4 linked regions of the Drosophila melanogaster genome follow. The protein of the gene in region 4 interacts with the protein of the main gene of each other region in a pairwise test. Each region holds a gene or a part of one and is shown on either strand. Other genes may lie near its edges.

Region 1 (5,447 bases), on a different chromosome or scaffold from region 4:
GGGCAAGTGTCGATTATGCGCGACTCGATGGCCACTCGGTTGACACACAGTTGGCGTTCGAAATTTACATTTTATTACTTTTACATGCCCGTGCAGCCGCGCGCAGGCATTAAAATTATTTACGATGCCAAATATTGTTGGTTGTAAATAATGCATTCTGGCAAATATCACTGGGCTGGATAGGAGTGAGGAGGGGAGGGTAACGGCCAATCGCTTGACCTTTGCCGCTAATTAGAGCCTCATTGTTTCCCGCCGAGCGAGGAACGTTTACGGAGCGTGTTTCCAAATGTTTCGCAAGTCTGTTGCGATTCGAGCACAAGTCGTTGACTGATAACACCTCTAGTATGGGATTAGCCGCGTCTCGAGCGCCCCACTCACTCACTCAGTTGAGATCTTTCCGAGATGGCGGCCGCTACCCCTGAAATCCAGTTCTACGAACGCGAGCTCAACATCCGCCGGGTGATCGAGGAGTGCGACCTGCAGCGCCTGGACCAGGCCCTCAACATCTGCGACCTGTCTAGCGTGGAGCGTAAGCTGCGCCTCTGGCAGAAGCTCCTGCCCAGGATCAAGCCCTTCTACGCCGTCAAGTGCAATGACGATCCAATGGTGGTCAGGCTGCTGGCCCAGCTGGGAGCCGGATTCGACTGCGCCTCCAAAAACGAAGTCAAGCTGGTGGGTTGGGAATAGTTACTACATATACAAGTGCCTTAAGTCCTGGTAGTGCATCTCATAGTTTTTGGTGCCACACTAATATGTTTTTATAAATACTTTAGTACAAAGTACTATATAGTCATGTTCCAAGTAATGGAACGTAATTCTGGGCCTTATCAATTTCTGAATGTAGGTTTTCATTTTTCAAGCGATTAACACGTGTTGTTCTAGAGCCCAGACATTGGTATTTGATTACTTGTCGGAATTTCGTATAATTTAATAACTTTATTATTCTTTTCATGAATTCAATTCAAAGGTCTTGGGCTTCGATGTCTCGCCGGAGCGTATCATCTTCGCCAATCCCTGCCGCCCTGTCAGCCATCTGGAGTACGCCAAGGAGCACCAGGTGTCCAACGGAACGGTGGACAATGAGTTCGAGGTATACAAGCTGCACACGCACTATCCCAACTCCAAGTAGGTGCACTACCGTCGGATGCGATCATTAGTATATCTATACGTTGTTATCCAGCCTGATCGTGAGATTCAAGAGCGAGGCCAAGGAGGCACAGTGCCCACTGGGCGACAAATTTGGCTGTGATGCGGATGTGGATGCAGCGGCCCTAATGCTGCTGGCCAAATCCTTGGAGCTGAAGGTGACCGGCACCAGTTTCCACGTCGGCTCCGGATGCAGCGAGCTGCAGGCCTACGATCGGGCCATCAAGAAGGCCAAGAACCTCTTCAAGTTCGGCGCACTACTGGGCTATGACATGGACTTTCTGGACATTGGCGGTGGGTTCCCTGGCAGCGATGACGTAAAGTTTGAGAAGGTGTAATGCAGTAAGCAGAGGATTTTGAAGCAATTGCTCAGAGGAAACTTTTTACAGATAGCCGAAAGTGTGAATACCTCGGTGCAGCGTCATTTTCCCGACGAACGCGTTCACATAATCGCCGAACCAGGACGCTTCTTTGTGGCGGCAGCCTGCACCTTGGTTTGCAAGATCCACGCCAAGCGGGAGATCAGGAACGAAGCTGGCAAACTGGACACCGTAATGTACTATCTGAATGACGGCGTCTATGGGTCCTTCAACTGCATTCTGTACGACCATCAAGTGGTGATTGCAGAGCATTATCTGGTAAGATTGTCCATTATCATATGCATTATTTTAGTTGTCATTGAACATTGTTAAAAAGAAGAGGGGTTCCCCTTGAATAGCTCAGACCTCTACATGTTTTTAAGACCCAATTCACTTCATTTTCCCACAGGACAATGCAGAATCTTTGCCACACCTAAAGTCCTTGATTTGGGGGCCAAGTTGTGACGCCCTAGATAAGGTAAGTCAAATGTTGCTTGAAACTTAGCAATACCAAGTAATGTTTTATTTCTTCTTCAGATTTCGGAGGACCTGCACTTGCCCAACCTAAACCGAGGCGATCTTTTGGGATTCCGAAACATGGGCGCCTACACCATGCCCATTGCCAGTGCATTCAATGGATTCGAAGTCCCCAAGACCCTGTACTTCCAAGCTATATGACTAAATCACTTACTCAATCCAATAAAACCAACATTTTGTGGACTCTCTATTGTTTACTTGCTTACAACTTTTATATGTAGTAGACTTGGGTTTATAAAAATACCTGGCTGGTGGATTGTTAGGCCCATAAATATCTTCATGTATGTAAAAGGAGCATTTGAGATGTGTATTTCGTAGCTGGGAATTCATGCGTAAACAATTTTGGATCTCACAACTTACGGTAATGTTACTATGAAAGTCAGTAGATCTGTCATACTTTTCGCTAATAGTTCTAAGTCACACAAATCATCTATTTAAAAGGCAGTAAGCGATAAAAGCCCAAAATTGTCATCCATCAAATATATCTTAAGTATCAGTTTCTTATAATTTGCCTAGAAATCAATCATGCAAATGAACTGGAACTTTAATTGCCACCAGTTCTAGTTTAATAAATTTGTTGACTTGACTCGTAGCATAATTTACGGATGCGTAGACCTTGAAAAAAAAAAACCGAAAAGCAATCCATCTCATGTCCAAAGTCGACATCGTTTATGTATAAATAATGTTTTTGTCACTTCCTAATAGATAATCCCAAAGCTGGGACTCTCTGTGGGCAGGCAGACCACATTTGTATCAGTATCAGTCTAATCGAGATGGTGAACGGAGACCTAAGAATACAATACTACGATGAAGAGCTCAACATTCGCAAGGTTATCGAGCAGGCAGACCTAGAACATCTGGACCAGGCCCTCAACATCTGTGACTTGTCCAGCCTGGAGCGGAAGCTCCGTCTCTGGCACAAGCTTATGCCCAGGATTGAGCCCCACTATGCCGTCAAGTGCAACGACGATCCGGTGGTGGTCAAGTTTCTGGCGGATCTCGGAACTGGATTCGACTGCGCCTCCAAAAACGAACTTAAGTTGGTAAGTACGGATGCGCTTTCCGAGTATTGGGTATTCCAAGCTTCCAAATTTGAGATCGACCTTGAATCGATGGATTAAATGGCGAATAATAACAATATGGAAACAAATCAAATCTAAATGTCATAAGATTCAAAACGACAATTATCAGTTGAATTCACTAAAATAAATGAAGATCGGTATTGAATGAAAAGAATACGCTTAGATTTATTCATTTATTCTCTACCCATTCCCATAACTTCCATGTACTCCTTCAGGTCCTGGGACTTGGCGTTTCGCCTGAGCGCATTATCTTCGCACATCCCTGTCGTCCTGCTAGCCACTTGAGGTACGCCAAGGAGCAGCAGGTGGTCAACGGTACGGTGGATAACGAGTACGAGATTTACAAGCTGAGAAAACACTATCCCGACTCCAAGTAAGTCTATACGTATCTGAGCTTCTGGTAGTGATATGTTTCGTTATTCCAGCCTCATCGTGAGGTTCAAAAGTGAGGCTAAAAAGGCGCTGTGCCCCTTGGGCGACAAATACGGATGCGATGCGGAGGCGGACGCCGCAGCCCTAATGCTTCTGGCCAAGGCCTTAGGTTTGAAGGTAACCGGTACCAGTTTCCACGTGGGCTCCGGATGCAGCGAGGTGGAGGCCTACGATCGGGCCATCGAGAAGGCGGAAAACATCTTTAAGGTCGGCGAGATGATAGGTCACAAGATGGAACTATTGGATGTTGGCGGTGGCTTTCCTGGCATTGATGATGAGATGTTCGAGGAAGTGGGTACAGCAATTGACTAGATTTCGAGCTATTGTTGATGAAACACATTCCTTATAGATAGCGCAGTCGGTAAACACATCAGTGGAGCTGCGTTTTCCCGATAAGCGTATCCGAATCATTTCCGAGCCAGGACGCTTCTTTGTGGAGGCCGCATACACATTGATCTGCAAGGTACATGCCAAGCGGGAAGTCCGCAGCAAGGATGGCAAGCTGGACACCATGATGTACTACCTGAATGATGGAATCTTCGGAGCGTTCGCAGGAATGTTTTACTACCCTGAAGAGGTGGCTCCCGAGCTCTACTTGGTAAGAAGAGAAGTGTGCTCCAATTGTTTTTATCATTTAACAACTTTTTTAAAAGTGCTTAAACAGTATTTATAGTATTAAATTATTGATTAAATAGTTCAAGTAATAATAAATTGTCCTCCGATTCCAGGACGAAGCCGAGAGCTTGCCAAAACTCAAGTCTGTGATTTGGGGACCCAGCTGCGATGCTATGGATAAGGTAAGTGAGTTTCTAAAGACTTTCAACATAATAACTTTCACCACCTCGCCTTCAGATATCGGACTTGCTATTGCCCAACTTGAATCCGGGCGATCTATTAGGCTTTCGCAATATGGGAGCCTACACCATGCCCATCGCCAGTCCCTTTAATGGATTCGATGTTCCGGAGACCAGGTTCTTCAAGGCAAAGTAACTTTACCGTACTCTAAGAACAATACTTGTTATGCTCAACTTAAAATTAAAATTTGCAAATATCTTTTTATGTAATTAAGACCACGCATTTCAGTAGTATCACGACGTAAAGAAAACTCTCGCTTGCATTTGTAACCAACATGGATTCTTTATTAGATAGATTTTCAGATTGCTCACATGGAGAGCATTATGTAAGCCCAGCTTTCGATGGGGTTCAGTGTTTTGCAATATTTTGAAAAGAACAGCTCTAGCCAAAGGAAACTGACCCGAATCGGTGGTGCGGCGCATTCTCTTGAAAATATTTCCGGACCCGAGCCCGCTCCCGCTGCACCACCGCCCACCAGTGGGTGGCTACTGACCTAAGCCACCGCGTGGTTGGTGTGGAGGCGGGTAGGGGATCGGGCGGACTTGGAGTGTCAGTGTCAGTATAGCTAATCGGATTACAACTTAGTTTGCGTAGACATAATCGAAAAGGTACGTATGTATGTGTGTATAAAAGTATATGTATAAAAAATTTCAAAAATTCCACTCTGCATACACGCTGCATTTGCTTAATTCACTTCTGCATAAATATATCAAACTTGTCAGATGCCTCAAAAATGTAAGTAAATTCTATAAAATGTCACTATATTAGCTGTGTCGAGCCATCCGAGTGTCTTACTACTGGGAGCTCTTGATATGTCACGATATAATATAACAATATAACGATATGCATTCTCGACCTTCGTGGGTTGCCCCTTTTTGGATTAAGGGTTATGGGTTATGGAATTGGGATTTCTTGGGAGTTTGCCCGTGTTTGTGGCAAATAAAGAGTACAAACTACTTATTCCATAATCAGTTCTTGGTGATTGATGCAAATGAAATTTTCTTACTTTCTCTTGTGCCTTCGCTTTGTTTCGCCC
Region 2 (7,340 bases), 8.2 Mb from region 4:
ATACGGCATGCACATCCTGGCAGTGGTTCACGTTCGCGTGAGCTCGAAATTTGGGGAATTATGCTTAACGTTTTTTTTTTTTGGAACGATTCGAATTGGCGACTAGAATTTGGATGGCATCGAAAATCAAACTGAACGTAGGATAGCAAACACTTGGGTAAATGGATCAAATTAAAAGGTGAAAAGGTTGATATCCAAGTTGTATCAATATTTTAACATATATATCATGTAGTTTCAGAGAAATTAAATCGGATATTTAAGGAAGATACCTTCCGCATAGACAAATCCTCGCCCATTGTGAATTGCTGTTCTAAATTTAGCTGGAGATTGGGGTGGATTTGTTGCCACGTCGCTGGAAATGCAAGGAAATGCACCACTTGGGGTCCATGTGTATCGGCAGCTATTTATAGAACCTGGTTGGCTGGCACTACGACAACATACAACAAAGCGGAGTCGCTGCATCGCCGGATCAGTTGCAATCAGACCATGGCCTCGTTTGGAGTTCGAGGAATGGGCCAGCCGCTGGGCATTCGGATATGCTGTTGTCGCGTCTGCACCTGCATCAATTTCGGGTTCGTTCTGTCGCGGATCGGCCTCCTGAAGCTGATGCAACTGGGCCTGGCCATGCTCTGCGAGGGACTGCTCATCCGCTACGGCGTACCATACGCCGATTCCATTGGCCAGGCGCTAACCAGCTTCCTGGCCACAACCGGCCACTGCTTCACCACCACTGGCATCCTGCTACTGTGCTACGCCTTCTCCGACAAATCCTACAGTCTCATTCGGCAGTCACTATTCGTAGGTTGACTTGGAGCGCTTTTCCAAGTGAAGAATAGATTCTCTACTAACTTGCTCGAACACAAAATTCAATTCAAATTGAAGGATGCATTTTAATTTTAATTTTTTCTGATCTAACGATATGGTGATTGCTCTTATTCCAGGAGACCTTGTTCAATGGCCTCGCCAGCTGCATGTACTTCAGCTCATCCAGTTACATGGGTTTCGCCTGCGTGGTATGGCTACATCCGCAGTTCCTGGTGCGACCCGGATTCTGGGCATATCCGGCCATGACAGCCTGCTATGTAAGTACTGCTGATTTAAATAAAAAATATGCCTATATTTAACCAAAAATCCCTTTAAACTCCTTAACTTTCAGTACATGGGCTATGCAGCGGGAATATTGCATGCCCTGGATGCCTACTTGGCGTTCCGGCACTTCCGAGGCGCACGCTAATCCCGGCCAGACAAAAGCAGTATCTTAAGTACTCTGTGGACATATTTATATGAGTTTTAGGTTTAAGGCACCTTACTTCCGTTGGTCTCGAACATTCGCGGTAAACGCGATTAGTCGTATGTTTATAAATAATAACATTTAAAATGGACTGGTTTCATTAGCACCAAAAGGAGTGGAGTGGGAGATCCGGCGATCTTGTGGCCCATCAGGCCATCTTGTTGGCCTCCGCCTTGAATTTTCTGCAAGTACATAGTTCGTTAGATGTTTTATTGTTTCTCCATTGAATTCGTTTTACACCCACTTGAGTTGCTTGAGAGCCTGGCTGGTCTCGAAGTCCGCCTTTAGCAGTCCGATGCGCACCCAGCGCGGCCTTTCGTGAATAACCTTGTGGATGAGAAACTTCAGGCCCAGCAGCAAGTGTTCGAAGATTACGAACGAAAGATCCGGCACCGATGGCAGCCAGTGAGAGAAGAAGTCCCTGATGGATTAAAAAAAGGATGATTATCAGTAAGAAAGTCAGAAAAAGGCCAAAACTCACTTGACATTCGGCTGAAGGAAGAGCAGACCGCAGTTGCTAAGCAACGACATCACTGAGAGCAGCTCGAAGGCCAGCTGCCAGGCGCCGATGTTCTTGGCGCGCCTTGCAAATGGTCGCTTAAAGATGTTGCACAGCTTCCACATATCAATGTGCACCGCAAAGACGTTGTTCAGCAGAGCTCCAATGGCGGCAAATGGGGCAACGGCGGCAAACAGGACCACGAATCCAAACTGGATGCATACCTGCAGGTAGTCCTCGTACGTGGAATGATATTCATCTAGTCCGGATTCGTAGAACGATTGCTCGTAGCGCGGCAGATCACTGATGGATCGCAGCTTCTCCTCGGCCACCTCGCGATGACGGAACTCGGCGTACTTCTGGCGCAGCACCGCCAGCAGCGGTATACCAATCTCCTGGGCGATGCACAGCAGCTGGAAGACCAGCAGTTGCATCATCAACTGGTACTTCAGCTGGCGCAGATCGTGCAGCACGAAGGCAATATAGAACTGCGAGAAGAAGTTATTCACGATCTCGAAGAGCATCAGCTTATTGACCCGATGACGATCGTACTGCGATCGAGTTCGATGGTTCTCCAGGTTGGTGAGGAATGTGGCCAGCTTTTCGTATGCCCACGAAAAGATCGCAATCAGCACCGACTGCACAATAACCGGCACGTACAGCAGCCAGGAGTCTGGTCCGAAATCCGCCAGCACCTCGGCTTCGATCTGAAACTGGTAGAGGGCAAACCAGCCGGCGGCAACCACACAGCCCAGCACCACCGGATACGAGATGCAGTACATCTGCAGGTATGTGTACCGCATCGGATAGTGGAGTGTCATCTTGCCGGTGATGGGGTCCGGTTTCAATTGGCCCGTATATGCGGATCGCGGCTTGTCCAGGCTGCTCATCTCAATGGTGCCCCATCGATACGAGTAGCCGGCACACTTACGCTTCCACAACTCCAGGAAAATCTAAAAATATAGGAATATGTTAATATAAAATCGATTGGAAGACCAAAACCATAACGTTTTATGCCAGCTCTAGTGTATTTAATCTTTAGTTAACTGTTTTTTGTGGCAATGATTTAGTCGGTGTATAGATATATTTAAACTATTCAAACTTGAAAATTGGTAAAACTGCAAGATCAAAATACATACATGCTAGCTATTTTTACTATAGCACTTAAAAGTTTCCAACTTAAGAGCACTTAAGTGATGCTATACTTAGATTTATAAGCTGTAAAAGCAATTTATTTTTATTGTGCAAAGGTTTACTTTGTTTCGCCTTGAAAATTAACAATTTAACTCACCGTGGTCCAAACAACGTAGAAACTGCAGACCAGCGAGATGTTCAGATCGAATACATATTGGAGTATACCAAAAAGGGAGGGAAAGATCAGTGCCTTCGTGTAGAACTCGATGAAGCCGAAATAAAGACCTATACTGGAACCAAAGTAGTTCCGGATGTCCTCGATGGGCAGCTTGGTGCGTTTCAGGTTCCAGTTGAAGCGTTCGAGATACAGCTAAGTGTATAGATTGATGCATTGCATAACATTAGACAATCTATCCATGTATATAATTAGGATATATTTATAACTTACGATATCGTGGAGGGGAAACATATCCTCTATGTAGCCCTTTTGCACGTAGGACTTAATGCCGTCCTGGATTACGTCCTTGATGAGAACAGGTATCTCGCAGTAGCGCAGGATCTGCTCTTTGCCCATCCCGGGCAGTAGAAAGTCCGAGATGCAGCCGTGATTGAACTTTTGCATGCTGTGCGTGGTGGTCATCTTCTCCAGCTCGGCGGCATCGGCCAAACGGAGCAGAGTATCCACGCTGGCCGATAGGTAGAGATACTTTTCGGTTTTCCTGTACGAAATTTAATTGGATTAGTTGCTTGCCAATCTGGAGGAGTGCTTAACCAGGCACTTTCGTAAACAAATAGTTAAATCGATTTTCATTTCTAAACAAATTGGAGATCAAAAGATCTGGTTTTTGTATTATAAACAATGCACTTGTTGTTTGCTAATTTAAAATGATTTACTGATGTGTCCTAAATCCTAATTGTTTTTCATTGAAAGTTTGCTATAATTTTATAGGAACAGCCATTAATGTAACATCTGTGAAGATTTTTAAACTATATTTTCTACATTTTCTCGTTGAATAATTTATGTAATTCATTCAAGTTTTCTTTTGTTACTATTGATTATGTAAAATCATTTTTGTTTTTGCGTATGAGTTAATAATATAGACTTTATAATACTACAGCATTAATATTTTCTGTAAATTTATATTCTAATGCGTTATATAAATGATTTTCCATGGCTTAAATATTTAAATTTTCTTAGTACTTCTTAGTAGTTTTCAAGCACACAACTTGTATGATTTGCTGTTCTTTATGTATCTAACGCAATCCCATCTTACCCTACGATCTCCAGCGTGGTCTGGATGCCAAACTCCTGAATGATCTTCTCCACATCCTGACAGTGTCTTAGCTTGGCCTTCTCCGTAAAGATGATGACGATGTGCGTCTGTTGTTGGCGATAGATGAAGATCTGTCGTAAATAAACCATGCGCAGCACCTCATGAAATGCAAAATAACTGACCTTGTCGAAGGGTTCCGTATCTGCGCCCAATCCCTCCACCCCATCGTTGGAATCCAAGGTCCGCTGGCGCTGCAGTGCCTCCAATTTTAGGCTACGCTGCCGGCGGAACAGCTGATTCTCGATGATGTTCCGTGTGCGTGGTCCTGGACCTGGAGTTTTATTCGATTTTAATGGGTCTGTGGCATTAAGTGCCAGCTCACTGGGTGCACTTACTCTTGGCATCTTCGGACATCGTTTACGGGTGACGACGAGTGGCGTCGCTGAACTAATAACAAAATATAACAATCACATCCACATCCGAATATGATATTGCAGAATTCTCTCAGTTTCGTTTATTTTGTTTTTGCTTTTCTTCTCCGCTCGCATGAGTAAGTGCTTGCTATCTCGCTCGCACTTGCGGTGTGCGTGTGTGTGCTAATTGCGTGTATGAGTGTATCTTGGCCCGCGCCAATGCCAAAATACTGAATTTTTAATAATAATGCCAAAATATTCAGTTCTTGCCGGTTCAAATCCAATTGTTTTTGTTGCTGTCCCAGCTGCGTGGCGCGTGACGTCATCGCTGCCATGTTATCGAAACGATTCGCCTCTCTGTCACAACAACAGCAACAACTACAAAAATAAATCATATATGTCACAATTAATTTGGTTTTAATTTGTTTAAATTAACTAGAATCTCCTCTTCTTTCCCGCCCTTCGGCATTGCAACAAATCAAGCACTTATCGATAACCGTGTGCAAATCAGCCAGTGATGCGCAACTGTTGCACTCGTTGACTGGCAGTCACGGCAAGCAGTTGGCAAGCAGTGTCAGAAATAAGCAGTTCAAAGCGGGATACACGGGCCGTTTTCAAAATTTAAAATCATAGACTGCTAAATTAGTTGTTGGTTTCCATTAATTCACTTAGCCGCTTTTAATTCAAAGCATTCGAGTAGTTTCCTTAAAAGGAAAACCAATCTGCAAATTTAAAAAGAGTTCTCCAAGGCAATGTCGTTTGTAAATGCACCATTTAAATTGTTTTTATCTTTATTTGAAATCGATTTTTAGCAATCGCTATGTTTATATATAATTTTTCGACTATAATTTCATTTAAATATTATGGTTGTTGCGTGAAGGCTTAATCGATTAATTTAAAATAAATTCATTAACAATTCGTTTCAACAAAATAGGTTTTGTTCATAGATACATATATCTGATAATACGTAATTAGCATAAATAATTGGAACTTGCTGAAAGTCGATTCATGGAAATTCAGTGCCAAAACCTCCAGCGGTTTGTCCTATATCATCCGATCTGATATATTCTTACAATATAAATGGTATAAGTTCTTTACACATAAATAAAGCAAACTTGCTTATAACTCACCTATTCTCAAGTTTTGCTCTTTAAAACCAAAACAAAAGGAAATCAAATATATCAAAATTATACTTGTACAATAAATTAAAACATTTTTGGGATCTGTCTATGTCTTTCCGTTTATCGTTATCGGTACTTCTATGTGCCTCTGTGGTTTCTTGATCTTTTCCATTAACAATTTACTTGCGTTAAGTTTTTGAAACTCCCTAAACTTTGGTATAATATCGTTATCGTGTTGATCAATATCTAATGTCTCGAGATAGACGTGTTCTATTTAATCGTTAGTTCTTAACGAAATCGTTACTTTAGCTACAAAATTGAAAAAGGCTGTGTGATGTCTGAAGTTTTTGGTTCGTCGGATTCTTTGTGCTTTTTGGGGGGGGAGAGTCGTTGTCTTAATCAGTTTTGTTTTTGTTTGAATTTAATTGGGTGTCTTTGTTTTTGTTTTTAAAAAGTCTGTGCTAGCTTATAAACAAAGTCGATTTGGTTGCAGCTGCTCCAGGATTTCTCTGGGTCACCATATAAGTCCTATATAGTAGGTAGATGCATATATGGCGGTGCAAAATTGAACACGTTCCCATTTCCGTTCCCTAGACGTCGATCACGCTGTCATTCTTCTTCATCTCCATGAGATGGGTCTGCTTGAGCTTCTCCTGCATCTGGGTGAGCATGTCCTGCATCCTCCTTATCTCCTCGTCCTTTTGCAGGAGCAGCCTGTCCGTCTCCGAGATGGCCGCGTCGAATCCATTGGTCGAGCTAATCGAGTCCCGCTTCAACTTGCCGCGCTCACGCAGCGCGTGCTGCGAAATCTGCGAGATGCACTGCGCCCGGAAGTTCTCGTAGTGCACGTCCTGAAACATTTCAAGAGTATATGTATTAGTAATGCTCAAAGATAAGGCGGCATTTTTTTTTTCGCTCTAAAAGTAGTATAAAATAGTATCACCCACCTGCGTGGTGTCCTTGAGGTCCTGCATGTGCGTGGATATCAAGAAGGTGCGCAGCTTGATGAAGTCGCTGTGCTCCGGATCCTCCACGTTTACCACGCCCCACGGATACTGGCGCCCTCGGACCTTCTTGCCGGCCACCTCCAGAATGGTGTTGCTGCCGACGACGGCGAACGGAATGGAGGCCTTCAGTTCGCGGTCCTGCTGCTTGAAGTCGTCGTCCTCGTCGGAGTCGCATTCGGGGAACTGATACAGCTGGATGTGGTTGTCCTCCAGGTCCTGCAGGATGCGCTCCTTCAGCTTGCGCACCTCCTGCTTGTTGAGGCAATCGGCCTTGCCGATCACCAGCACGATGTTCACCTTGCGGTGCAGCCGCCGTATCAAATCGAGGTCCATCTGTCGCAGGCTGAAAATAGGATTGAAGTTAACATCACTATATTCCATATTTCTACAATAATATCAAAAATATGTAAAGTACTTTTCGCTATCCAGAAACCCAAGAACGCACAAAATTTGTCATGAAACATTCCACAATAATCAAGAATCATCGTATATAATATACGTAACATAATAATTGTTACGCATGAAAAATTGCTCAAAGTGGATTTCGCATTATCGTGGCATTTACTAAACAAACAAAAAAATTAATATATAAATAAAACAA
Region 3 (4,994 bases), on a different chromosome or scaffold from region 4:
CGACTGCCAGGCCCGATAACTACGATACAGAGATTCTAAAAGTTTTGGCCAAATACAGGACACGTCCGTGGGGAAAAAAGACGTATCGGGATTTCGACGAGAAAATATGGAACCTTTTTATGGCCATAAACAGCGAAGAGCAAACATTTAAAAAGAACGCATTAGCCGCATTCAAAAAATATGACGAAGATCGGGCCATTTTGGACAAAGCATTGGCACACCGAATTGCAGAATTCGAGAAACAAATTCCGCATGAGACAAATCCGTGCAGGGTCGATCTAATTCGCTTGAAAAAAGAACTGGGACGCGCAATGTTTGAAACTACGCAGAAAAAGCACAACAGTTTGGTCGCTACGAACTATGTAAAGACTTGTCTCAATAATCAAATAAAATTGTTCTTGGCAATGAATGATTTAACATTGTAAACTTCAGATTGGTTTTATTTTACTTTGCAATAATATTTAAGCATTAGAAAGCATACAATACAAACAATACAATCAACCGCACTTGAATAAGTGCGAGTTTCCATTATTGAATAAAGTTTAAAATGTATCCTTTCTAGCCAATAGCTCTTTCACTGCTTATTTAGATAATTTTTACATACTACTGTTTTATATTTAAAGACTAATTTATGTTTGCCTGCCTTGACTGACAGACATTTGTTTTCTTATTCGAGCTTGAGCCTCAGGTGGCCAGTTTTTTAATTCTTCCTTGCCACAAGGCAAGCAAAAAGAGGCTGTATAGTAGAAACTGCAGCCAGGATCCTTGCACACCGTCTTGGAGCAGATGGAGCACTTAGTCCCCATTGCGATATAGTATTCCGGCTTTGACTGCCAACGAGGTGGAGGTGGTTGGAAAGGATCTCGCATCACGTAGTTGTCCTCTGGGTATATGACTCCTAGAGCAAAGGGCGGTTTCCGTCCAAAATAATGGACCATCTCGTGCATTTCACAGCCAGAACAATTGAATTCGATGCGTGCTACTCGTTCATCCTCTTCCTCGGGATCAATGGGCTTTTTAAGCTCCTCGGGAAGCTGTAACCGTTCAATTTCCTCTGCCTCATTCTCCAGGACGAGGTCGTCATCGGGATCCATGTCTGAGATTTTCTAAAAGACCAATAGAAAAACACAGACTGTGCAACTTATACGAGGACTATATACATTTACTACACTTATAACAATAGTATGATAACAATATTTGGTCAAATCAGTTCGTAAGTCACTCAGCGAAAGCCATGCGACGCTTTCCAGGCAAATCCTCCGGCCACCATTCTGGACGTTCAACATAACAGCGCTCGCCATCGATCATCAACTCAGGACGGCCGTTGAGAACCTTCTCGATGCGCAGCAGTGCAATACCATGCTTGTGCGCAAAGCCAAAGACGCGTCCAAGTTTCGCTCCAGCCAAAGAAGTTACGTCCTGGCTGGAACCCACATCAATTGGGGCCGTCAACCGGATGGGCATGTATCGCTTGCGGATCACGCCCGAATGATGGACGCGGGCAGTTAGCTCCTGGCCCACATAGCAGCCCTTGTGGAAGCTCACGCCATGCAGGTAATCCGCATTCGCTTCGAGGGGAAAACATTTGCCCGGTGTCAGTTCCGAGCAGCCCTCGCCCACTCCTTGCTTGTAGCGCAGCAGTTGATAACTATTGTCGGAGGAGGCTGCTGTGGCGGTACCGAAGTCAGCAAAACATTTGGACAGCTTGGACCAGTCCATGTCGGTGGGGGCCAGGATGCGAGTGCCAAGGACATGCAGCCTCGGGTCGGGAGACACAAATAAGTCTGGATGTGGATTGGGTACAGCCTCCGAAGCGTCCTTGAGGTTAAACATAACCCAAGGGGTATACTCGTCGTCTACACTGTCGACCTCAATGCGCCTGCGAACGCGGTAGGTGCGAAGATGGCGTCGGAAGTCCGAGGAAGCCTCCCGATCGCACTCAACAAGGATGGTTTCCGGGTTGTTGGTGCGGTACAAGATGGTGTCGTACAGCAGCCTGCCCGCCTTGTTGAGAAAATGGGCGTACATTGAGGCAGGACCCCCCGGCGACTGAATCCGGGCCACATCGTTGGTCGCAAGACCCTGCAGGAATGGCACCACCTCGGCCCCGTGGACACGGATGAGTTCTCGATTTCCCAGCGGCTCCAACGTGAAATTGCGCTGATTTGGGCCCACCGGACGGGCGTATGGAATCCTCATCTCGTGGAGATTACGTATGTGATGGCGCACGGCGCGCAGAAACCACGGATTCGAACATCTATTCATGCTGCAAAATGGAGGCATCTGTTGCCTGCAATTGGTACTGGAAATGCCAACGGAAATCGCTCTTACCTTGTGCTGGAAATTTGATTAAACTTATTCGATATATCTAGCAGCAGAAACTTAAATTTGGTACTCAAAACAAAGTCGAGCAAGGAACTGATTTTTTGGCACCCGGTTCATAACATTTGGAATTGACAGTTCGTTTGGAGATGAGCGATTGGACTTCTTTTTTACGTGACACGAATTGTGGTGGAATAGTTAAATATCACTGAATATCTTACACTTGCATATGCAATAAAATTCGTGTGAAATATGTCTGTATACTTACAATTTTATTTTCTCTAAGAATGTAAAAAGTACTGTAAATTTAAATGAATATATTTTACGGTATATTTTTAATGGCACTTGCCGATTGTTTCTAGCCGCGAAATTCTCTCACGCTCCCATCGCCAATCAGCTGTTTCTTATCGTGACACCACATCATCTTGTTTTCTTTGGCTTATTTTAGCACTTTATACGGGGAAAATCGGTATTTCTTGGCGCTGAGGGCGCAGCCACTCTGCTGAAAACACAAGAAATTTGTTTTAAACAAAACAAAATGACTCAATATAGCCACGTTAAGTATACACAATCGCCGACGCCGTCGGTGGTTTCCGGCTACTCGAGTGCCTCGCGTCTCCATTCGCCATTACCGCCACCCGCCAACCACCGGAGGGACTGCCTCTCGGCGACCACCAAGAGCTACAAATACCTGCGACGTCTGCTCAAGTTCAATCAAATGGACTTCGAGTTTGCCCTGTGGCAGATGCTCTACCTCTTTGTGGCGCCCCAAAAGGTGTACCGGAACTTCAACTACCGGAAACAGACCAAGTCACAGTTCGCCCGCGACGATCCGGCCTTTCTGGTCCTCCTGGTCGTCTGCCTATGTGGTGAGTTCTAATGCCCAAGCATTCACACTCCAAAAGGGAGGAGGGAGATCCCATCTGCATCTGTTGTCATCTTGTACCATATCTACAGTTGGGCACTAATAACTTCTCTTCTGCTTATATCTAGTTAAAAGCTTAAAGTTAACGAATTTCATCAGTGTCCAATAAGATTACTATTGTACTCCAGCCTTATATAGAAACAACCTGTTAGAACTAATCAAAAAAAGGCCGTCTAATAATGTATGTATCTTTCAACAGTCACCTCCCTGGGCTTTGCGTATGTGCTGGGACTGTCTTTCTGGCAGAGCATCTCGTTCATATTCTATGTGGTATTCGTGGACTGTATTTTCGTGGGCATCATAATAGCCTCGTTCTTCTGGGCGGTGACGAATCGGTATCTGCGCACAAATAGCCTGGAGCCGGATATCGAGTGGGGCTATGCCTTCGATGTCCATCTAAATGCCTTCTTTCCGCCACTGATGCTGCTGCACTTCATCCAGCTGTTCTTCTACAACTGGCTGATCAGCCAAACGTGGTTCATCTCGCGATTTCTGGGCAACACCTTTTGGTTGATGGGCATGGGCTATTATGTGTACATCACATTTCTGGGATACAATTGTAAGTTATTAAATGCATCATCAAGTTCTCGAATTAAAAAGCTTTCCTCCTGCAGGCATTCCCCATCTGAAAAACACCCGCATCATTCTCATCGCCCTGCCCATCATCTTTCTACTGTTTCTGGTCGTCACAATTATTGGTTGGAACGCAACGATATCCTTTGTCAATTTCTACAAGTATCGCGTATATTAGTAATGCAATGTGCGTTGTAAATTATTCTGCGTTTAGTTGCTAAGCCACTATACTACAATTATGACTAATAAACTAATTAATTTAGCGTTATCCAAACCATATTATTGCAGCCTCAGTCATTTTTTCGATGATAAAACCATCTTTATAAAGTAAAATCGTGGAAAACTATAAAACAACATTTTTTCGATATTTTTATTCTAAAAAATGAACAACAAATGCAATTACGCCAGCTGCTTGGGCTTAATGAAAGTGCGCTTGCGCTTGTTGCGTTTTCGCTGCAGCTCCAGGGCGTGCAGTTCCGTGTGCACCTCGGCGAAGATCTCCGTCTGCTCCTCCTCGGGAATCGAGCTGCGGTAGTCCTTCATCATGTCGTACTTCTCCCATGGTTTCTGCACCTTGGCCGCCGACAGGCGATGCTTGTCTTTTAGATACTCATCGATGTTGGCCACACCACGCAGATTCTGTCGTTCCCAGCGCTCCAGCCATGGACGCGGACGGAGCACCACCTTAATGTCGTTCACCGGCACCGGAGCACCCTCCTCGAGCGGCTCGGCCTCCATGTTCTCATCAAAAGTACTGTACTCCGGAAGAGCGTCCCGCAGGTAGAAAAGACTGTCATCCAGTCGCTTCTCTAGCCGCAACACCTCGATCTTTAGGATGGTAGGATCATACAGCTCGTAGACCACCTCCATTCCCTGGTGATCAATCACGTTGCGAAGAATGAAACGGGCGCGCAGTCCACAGCGATCCCTATTGATACAGATACCCACAAATCGACTGGTTTTGCCAGCGGCATGGGGATCCGAACTTGTCACCGCAAGCACAGATCCAACGTAGAACTCGGGCAGGTCGATCTGTTTGCGGCGATCCAGCATGTCCAGTCGCTCCAGCTTCTCGCGCACGAGGTTGCGCCACTCCACCTTCGGATCGGGCAGGAATTCTGGGTAAACAAACCGATAATTGGCCGGAATGATTGTCTTCCGGTTCACCGGTGAA
Region 4 (5,007 bases):
TGTACGACAGCCGACTGAAGCCCATGGGCACGGACATGGCTTGCCCGATCCGTGCCTTCAGGCTGGCCACCGTTCCTAAGCGATCCACCTCGTAGACGGTCTTCTTGCCGTCGCGCGTCTGAACCAAAGCCTGCACCTTCCGCATCCTGATGCCCGAATTTATATATATATATATATATATATATAGATAATTTTAGATTTTATACACAAGCTCTGTGTCTCTAGGTGTAGTCTGCTTTATTCGGATAGAAGTTTGCTTCTGGAACCCCTTGTGTAAAACTGTCGTTGTCATGCGAATGGAGTTCGAGTAAAATTTCATCGCATCCTTAAGTGACCCTATATGGATTACCAAATTTCATTAAGTAAATCAAGTAAAGCTATCAGAATGTTGTATAAAAATATTGCAAGCTATTTCAATTTAATAAAAATTTATGGCTTGAAGATGAGCAGTACGACTTTCACTGCTATCAGCTTAATGAAGACAGGACGTACAGAGTTTGCCGTAAAGGCTTGCATATATATATATATACATATATATCAAAACCTATGGTCCTTATGAAAGTAACCCAGCTAATATATTATGTATATAATATGTGTTAGAAAGTCAATGTCAAGGTCAGCATCTTAAAGAGTTAACTCGAGTAATCTTCTCTCGAAAGCTCTGCAACTTTGTTATAAAGTTCAAGCTCTCAATTTGTCATTAAATTTAATTTGTATGTTTATTCCCCGCATCCAAGGGAAAAACTATAAAATCCAACTGATTACAGAATCTTTGCAACATTGTAGGGAAGCTCCATTTATAATTCCTGATTGCTTTTTACAATATTTCATTTGTAATTTGATTAGGAAAGCTTTAGCAACATTTTGAGCAACTTATGGCTTTTTAAATTACTTTTCTATAAGGAATACCCAAAAGTATGCCTTGAATATAAAACAGTTGATTCATTGAAAGTAAACTGAAAAAAAAAAAAATTGAAAACCATAAATACATTTAATCAGAATGAGGCGAACTAAGCCATTTATAACTGTATAGATTAAAGATTTGTCAAAACCTCATTAGTTATTAACTACAAATTCAGTAGCCAAATTTTCACATATAATTTTGAAAACCCGGATCAAGAATCAGTCTATTGGGAATTTTGAAAATTTTCGACCCGGCAACACCACACATACAAAATTCTATACATTTGAACACGTGTGGGTTTTCTTATCACTGAGACTATTCAATCTGTCTCATTTTCTGTTTTGAGCTAACAAATATATATATATATATATGTATATTCTGTATATTTGTTTAATCTGTTGTGCATTGCTGACTCATAAACTCACGCCTGCACATACAAATTTACCAATAGTAACTAATTACTAAGTATATTCTGCAGTACTCTTTTTTTGAACATCAGTTTTAAATATATTATAGGTAAAATATAAGGAGTGTGCTTCGGTGATTCCTGTCTATTCTAATTAAAAATAGACTCAATTTCAAATTCAGTTGAAAGTAGCAAATCAACAATATATGTTAATATTGTGAATGGCAAACCTATAGAAATCTAAAATTCTACCCACCCACCCAAAATAAAAATATAATTTTTCGTTCGTTTTCCTGTTCGTGTGCTTGATTTTCGTGCACTTGCAGGTCTGAAATCTGGGACATTGGCCAGATTTTATTAATTTCCAAGGCGATCAAGTCATGTACAGCATTTAAATCGTCAACCAAGATTAGAACCGAGTCCATCGGGGACGCAGCCCACCGCCACGGTGCTACTCATAAAACGAAGGTGTCGTAATAGTCGACATCGTGACCGGAGACAAAGGATATCTCCTCCAGAATGTTGATCAGCTTGAGTGTGGCCTGGCAGGGCTTGATTCTCGGCAGCTGGAGCAACTGCTTCGTGGCTATCAGATCAGCGGGAGTGATCCGATTGCCGTTCACATCGCACTGTCCCTCGTGGGTGTCCATCAGACCGGGCGAGAAGCTGAGCACATGGACACCGAAACGATACTCCTCGGCGGCCATGGCGCGGAAGTACATATCCCTGGCCCGTTTGCACGAGCAAAGCAGACCAGCATGGACCAATGGACGTACCATCAGCGATGAGGTCACATTCACCGCCAGCTTCTCCACTCGCTCCAAGTGCTTCGATTGCAGCCACGTCTGATTGAGCGCCACCGGAGCATAGAGCTGCTGCTGGACATAGGCCTTCCAATCGTCGTCGCTCTGGGGTTCCAGGAGCATATGCGTGGCCGCCTTTCCCTCGTTGTGAAGGATTATGGAACGCTCGAAGCGTTGATTGTCCTTATCCGCCATGAAATTATCCATCAATGCCTGTTCCATTAGCTGCACACCATTCGAGTGATCTTTGTCCAACTTTCCGATTGTCACCTTAACGTTCTCCGTCTTCAGTTCGCTCCGGAGATGATTCTCCAGCTCCCGAAGCTGCTCCTGATCCTCATCCAAGATCAAAGCAAGGGATCCAGTGGCCAGGCGACGGCAGAACTCCAGCGCCAGGGATTGACCCAAAGGATTTGAGCTGCCGCTCAACACCAAAAAGGTGCGTCTATTTAAATCCATTCTCTTTGCTGCCATTATTTTGATTTAAAGGATTTCGGGTACTTGAGGATTTCGGGAACTGAAGAATCTTCCACTTGTTTTCACTTGAAGCTGTACGACTGTACTGATGCCTTATTTCCTCCGGGCTTTGCCAACTGGACTCTGTTTTCGACTGATAAGCTTTATTCCGATTTCGATTGGCCAACTATATGTGCATATATATGTATTGTATATATATTTATGCTCGACTGAGCAACTCAGGTTCCGATTCCGTATGGAGAAGCGCTCTGGACTGGTGGGGATGTCAGCTTGGGGCTTTTATACAACCCAATCGACTGATAAGCCGGGGTTCAGGCGTCTGGTCTTGTTGCCGTGCCATTAACCATTTGTAATGTTTGGGATTTTGGCACCGTAATCCGGACCCATGGCGCATCATTTAACCTCTGGAATCTGATGGAGTGGTGCGCCAATATTACGCATCGGGGGCCTGGTCCTGGTAAATAGACATAGTTTAGATAATGTCCTAACAAACAAATTGCTCTATATGCTTTAACATAGATTATACTTTTCATTTCATTTTATACTTTCATATTAGAATAAGCTAATTTTTTCAAGCCCCTTTTGGCTTTGCCACTGTTTCCCATGAGCCAAAAACCTGATCGATTGTCATCTTGAAGTTCATCGAGTTCCTTTGATATGGCGCTAAGTCAAGGTTGTCTTTTTAGTGCAAGAGATTAACCAAAGAATTTTGTAAACAAATCAGTTGGCAACAATTAATAGTGTAGCACAGATGGGGACAATATTATGTGGAAAGTAGAATAGTACATTTTATAGTTTTGTCTAAGCAAAGTCCCTTCTTTTTTTTGCAAAACAAATTAAATAAATTTCCATTCATATAGTTTTTTCCCATTAAAACTGCTTTCCTATTTTAAGTATATATGTTTATTTTCCGAATCACATAACAGGTTATCGCATTCAGTCGTTGAACTTTCGTAGACGAATAAAATGCAAATGGTTTTTGCAATTACATAATACATATAATATATGCCTGTGAATTACATGGGTAGTGTAACACGTGTGAATTTAATGAACTCTCTCGTTACTAAACATCCGTTAAATCGCATGTTTAAAGATAACGTAAGGTACATATATATTAATGTGTCATATAGGGGTTTTTTTTTTTTTGCCTAGAAATGTGATTTTTCCATATTTCTATAGACATTATCGATCGGAAGGGAAGTGCTTTAAAATCTATATTCAAGATCTATCGATAGACGGCAGTGTTTCCAGAATTTGCTGTTTTGACTATATTTTCGCCAATAACAAGCTCGAATTAGGTTAATGGCCTTATTATATTCCGGTGGAGTCTGCTGCCGATTCCCGGATTCTCGTTTCGAGATGACGCTGACCCATTTAGAAATCGGGAACGGAACGCAGTTCTAATCGTAGTATAACCAAATAAGCTCACATTTGATGGAGGGAATAGCTATGCAAAATAGAGTATACAGATTATCTAAGTCGCACTACTTCCCTTTTCTTATAATATATAATTACATATTAATATATTCATATATTGCAACATAACTGCAAATCCAAGATCAAAAATAAACCTCTATGCACCTATGAATGCCAAAATCTTGATAACTTTGCTGTTTTGCTTGTTGGATAATGACCAGTCTTGAATGGCTGGAACATCTTGGTTGGTGTACCCCTACTTCATTGTTAGCCACTCACATGGTATCGTCCAAAGTTCTTGGAATTCACCAGTGGACAGTGGCAGTGGGTAATAGCATCACATCTGTCTGTTTATGTTGATTTAGGGGTATTATCAAAAGTGCGCGGGGCTTTCAAGCCGAAGCACGTAGCATCGCAGCTTTAGTGGGCAGGCGTGGACCTAATGGAAAGCATATTTGGAACACAGGCTATACCTGAACCTGACCCTGTCCTCCGTTCAATGTCGTTCAGCGGGAAAGTGACCCCTAGAAGATTTCATTTAGCTGGAAGAAAGAGTGAAAATTTCATTCACCTCGATCAAAATCGAGAGCAGCCCAGCTGCGGAAAACTAATGCATGAGCACAGCTTTCGGCGATCTGCGGTTTTCGGGTTTATCACGGTTATATAAGCCGTGTGGACCGCTCCCACAGTCAGTCCAAACTTTTGACGAGCCAAGAACACAGTGATCCGATAAGAACCTTTACAACATGCTAGCCTGCAAGCTTCTTCTCGCGTTGGTCATGGGAATGCACTGCATTCAATTGGTAAGAAACTTAAAAATCGATTAGTGTCCATCGAAGTGGGAGTGCATTAGAAAGAAAGTGAATTTGTTAAAAAAAAAACAAGGATAAGCTTTCGAACGAACTGATCAACACTGCTTAGTGTGCAGTGATTACAAAAGCTTAAGAGTGCTTCCTAGAAAGATTTTTAACACTGTTTACTGGGTGGTTAAAGGATAAAGG

What was found.
Region 1: the proteins of CG12116 (region 4) and Odc2 interact in a two-hybrid assay, tested with the Drosophila melanogaster proteins (one large-scale study listed by BioGRID).
Region 2: the proteins of CG12116 (region 4) and Axs interact in a two-hybrid assay, tested with the Drosophila melanogaster proteins (one large-scale study listed by BioGRID).
Region 3: the proteins of CG12116 (region 4) and Unc50 interact in a two-hybrid assay, tested with the Drosophila melanogaster proteins (one large-scale study listed by BioGRID).

The regions. Positions count from the first base shown.
Region 1 is NT_033778.4:8,004,449-8,009,895, forward strand, and holds Odc2 (ornithine decarboxylase 2), read left to right. Parts: upstream 1-2,797; 5' UTR 2,798-2,815; coding exon 2,816-3,085; intron 3,086-3,339; coding exon 3,340-3,497; intron 3,498-3,549; coding exon 3,550-3,847; intron 3,848-3,905; coding exon 3,906-4,154; intron 4,155-4,284; coding exon 4,285-4,353; intron 4,354-4,408; coding exon 4,409-4,546; 3' UTR 4,547-4,614; downstream 4,615-5,447. Other genes in the region: Odc1 (ornithine decarboxylase 1), read left to right, coding at 403-672, 968-1,125, 1,181-1,478, 1,536-1,784, 1,915-1,983, 2,043-2,183. UniProt on the Drosophila melanogaster protein: Catalyzes the first and rate-limiting step of polyamine biosynthesis that converts ornithine into putrescine, which is the precursor for the polyamines, spermidine and spermine.
Region 2 is NC_004354.4:16,678,829-16,686,168, forward strand, and holds Axs (abnormal X segregation), read right to left. Parts: upstream 5,068-7,340; 5' UTR 4,613-5,067; coding exon 4,594-4,612; intron 4,530-4,593; coding exon 4,381-4,529; intron 4,306-4,380; coding exon 4,199-4,305; intron 3,644-4,198; coding exon 3,373-3,643; intron 3,295-3,372; coding exon 3,082-3,294; intron 2,957-3,081; exon of another isoform or gene 2,744-2,956; coding exon 1,773-2,743; exon of another isoform or gene 1,713-1,772; coding exon 1,536-1,712; exon of another isoform or gene 1,474-1,535; coding exon 1,440-1,473; 3' UTR 1,261-1,439; downstream 1-1,260. Other genes in the region: CG13010 (uncharacterized protein), read right to left, coding at 1-15; sing (singles bar), read left to right, coding at 487-798, 942-1,082, 1,157-1,234; Septin4 (septin 4), read right to left, coding at 6,323-6,583, 6,680-7,082.
Region 3 is NT_033777.3:8,674,385-8,679,378, reverse strand, and holds Unc50 (Unc50 RNA binding protein), read left to right. Parts: upstream 1-2,765; 5' UTR 2,766-2,860; coding exon 2,861-3,191; intron 3,192-3,446; coding exon 3,447-3,806; intron 3,807-3,861; coding exon 3,862-3,998; 3' UTR 3,999-4,096; downstream 4,097-4,994. Other genes in the region: CG33325 (uncharacterized protein), read left to right, coding at 1-425; CG11755 (uncharacterized protein), read right to left, coding at 630-1,094; CG8043 (uncharacterized protein), read right to left, coding at 1,219-2,265; mRpL19 (mitochondrial ribosomal protein L19), read right to left, coding at 4,220-4,994. UniProt on the Drosophila melanogaster protein: Required for cell surface expression of acetylcholine receptors.
Region 4 is NC_004354.4:8,466,168-8,471,174, forward strand, and holds CG12116 (uncharacterized protein), read right to left. Parts: upstream 2,846-5,007; 5' UTR 2,588-2,845; coding exon 1,766-2,587; 3' UTR 1,276-1,765; downstream 1-1,275. Other genes in the region: CG33223 (uncharacterized protein), read right to left, coding at 1-145; Cp7Fa (chorion protein a at 7F), read left to right, coding at 4,753-4,809.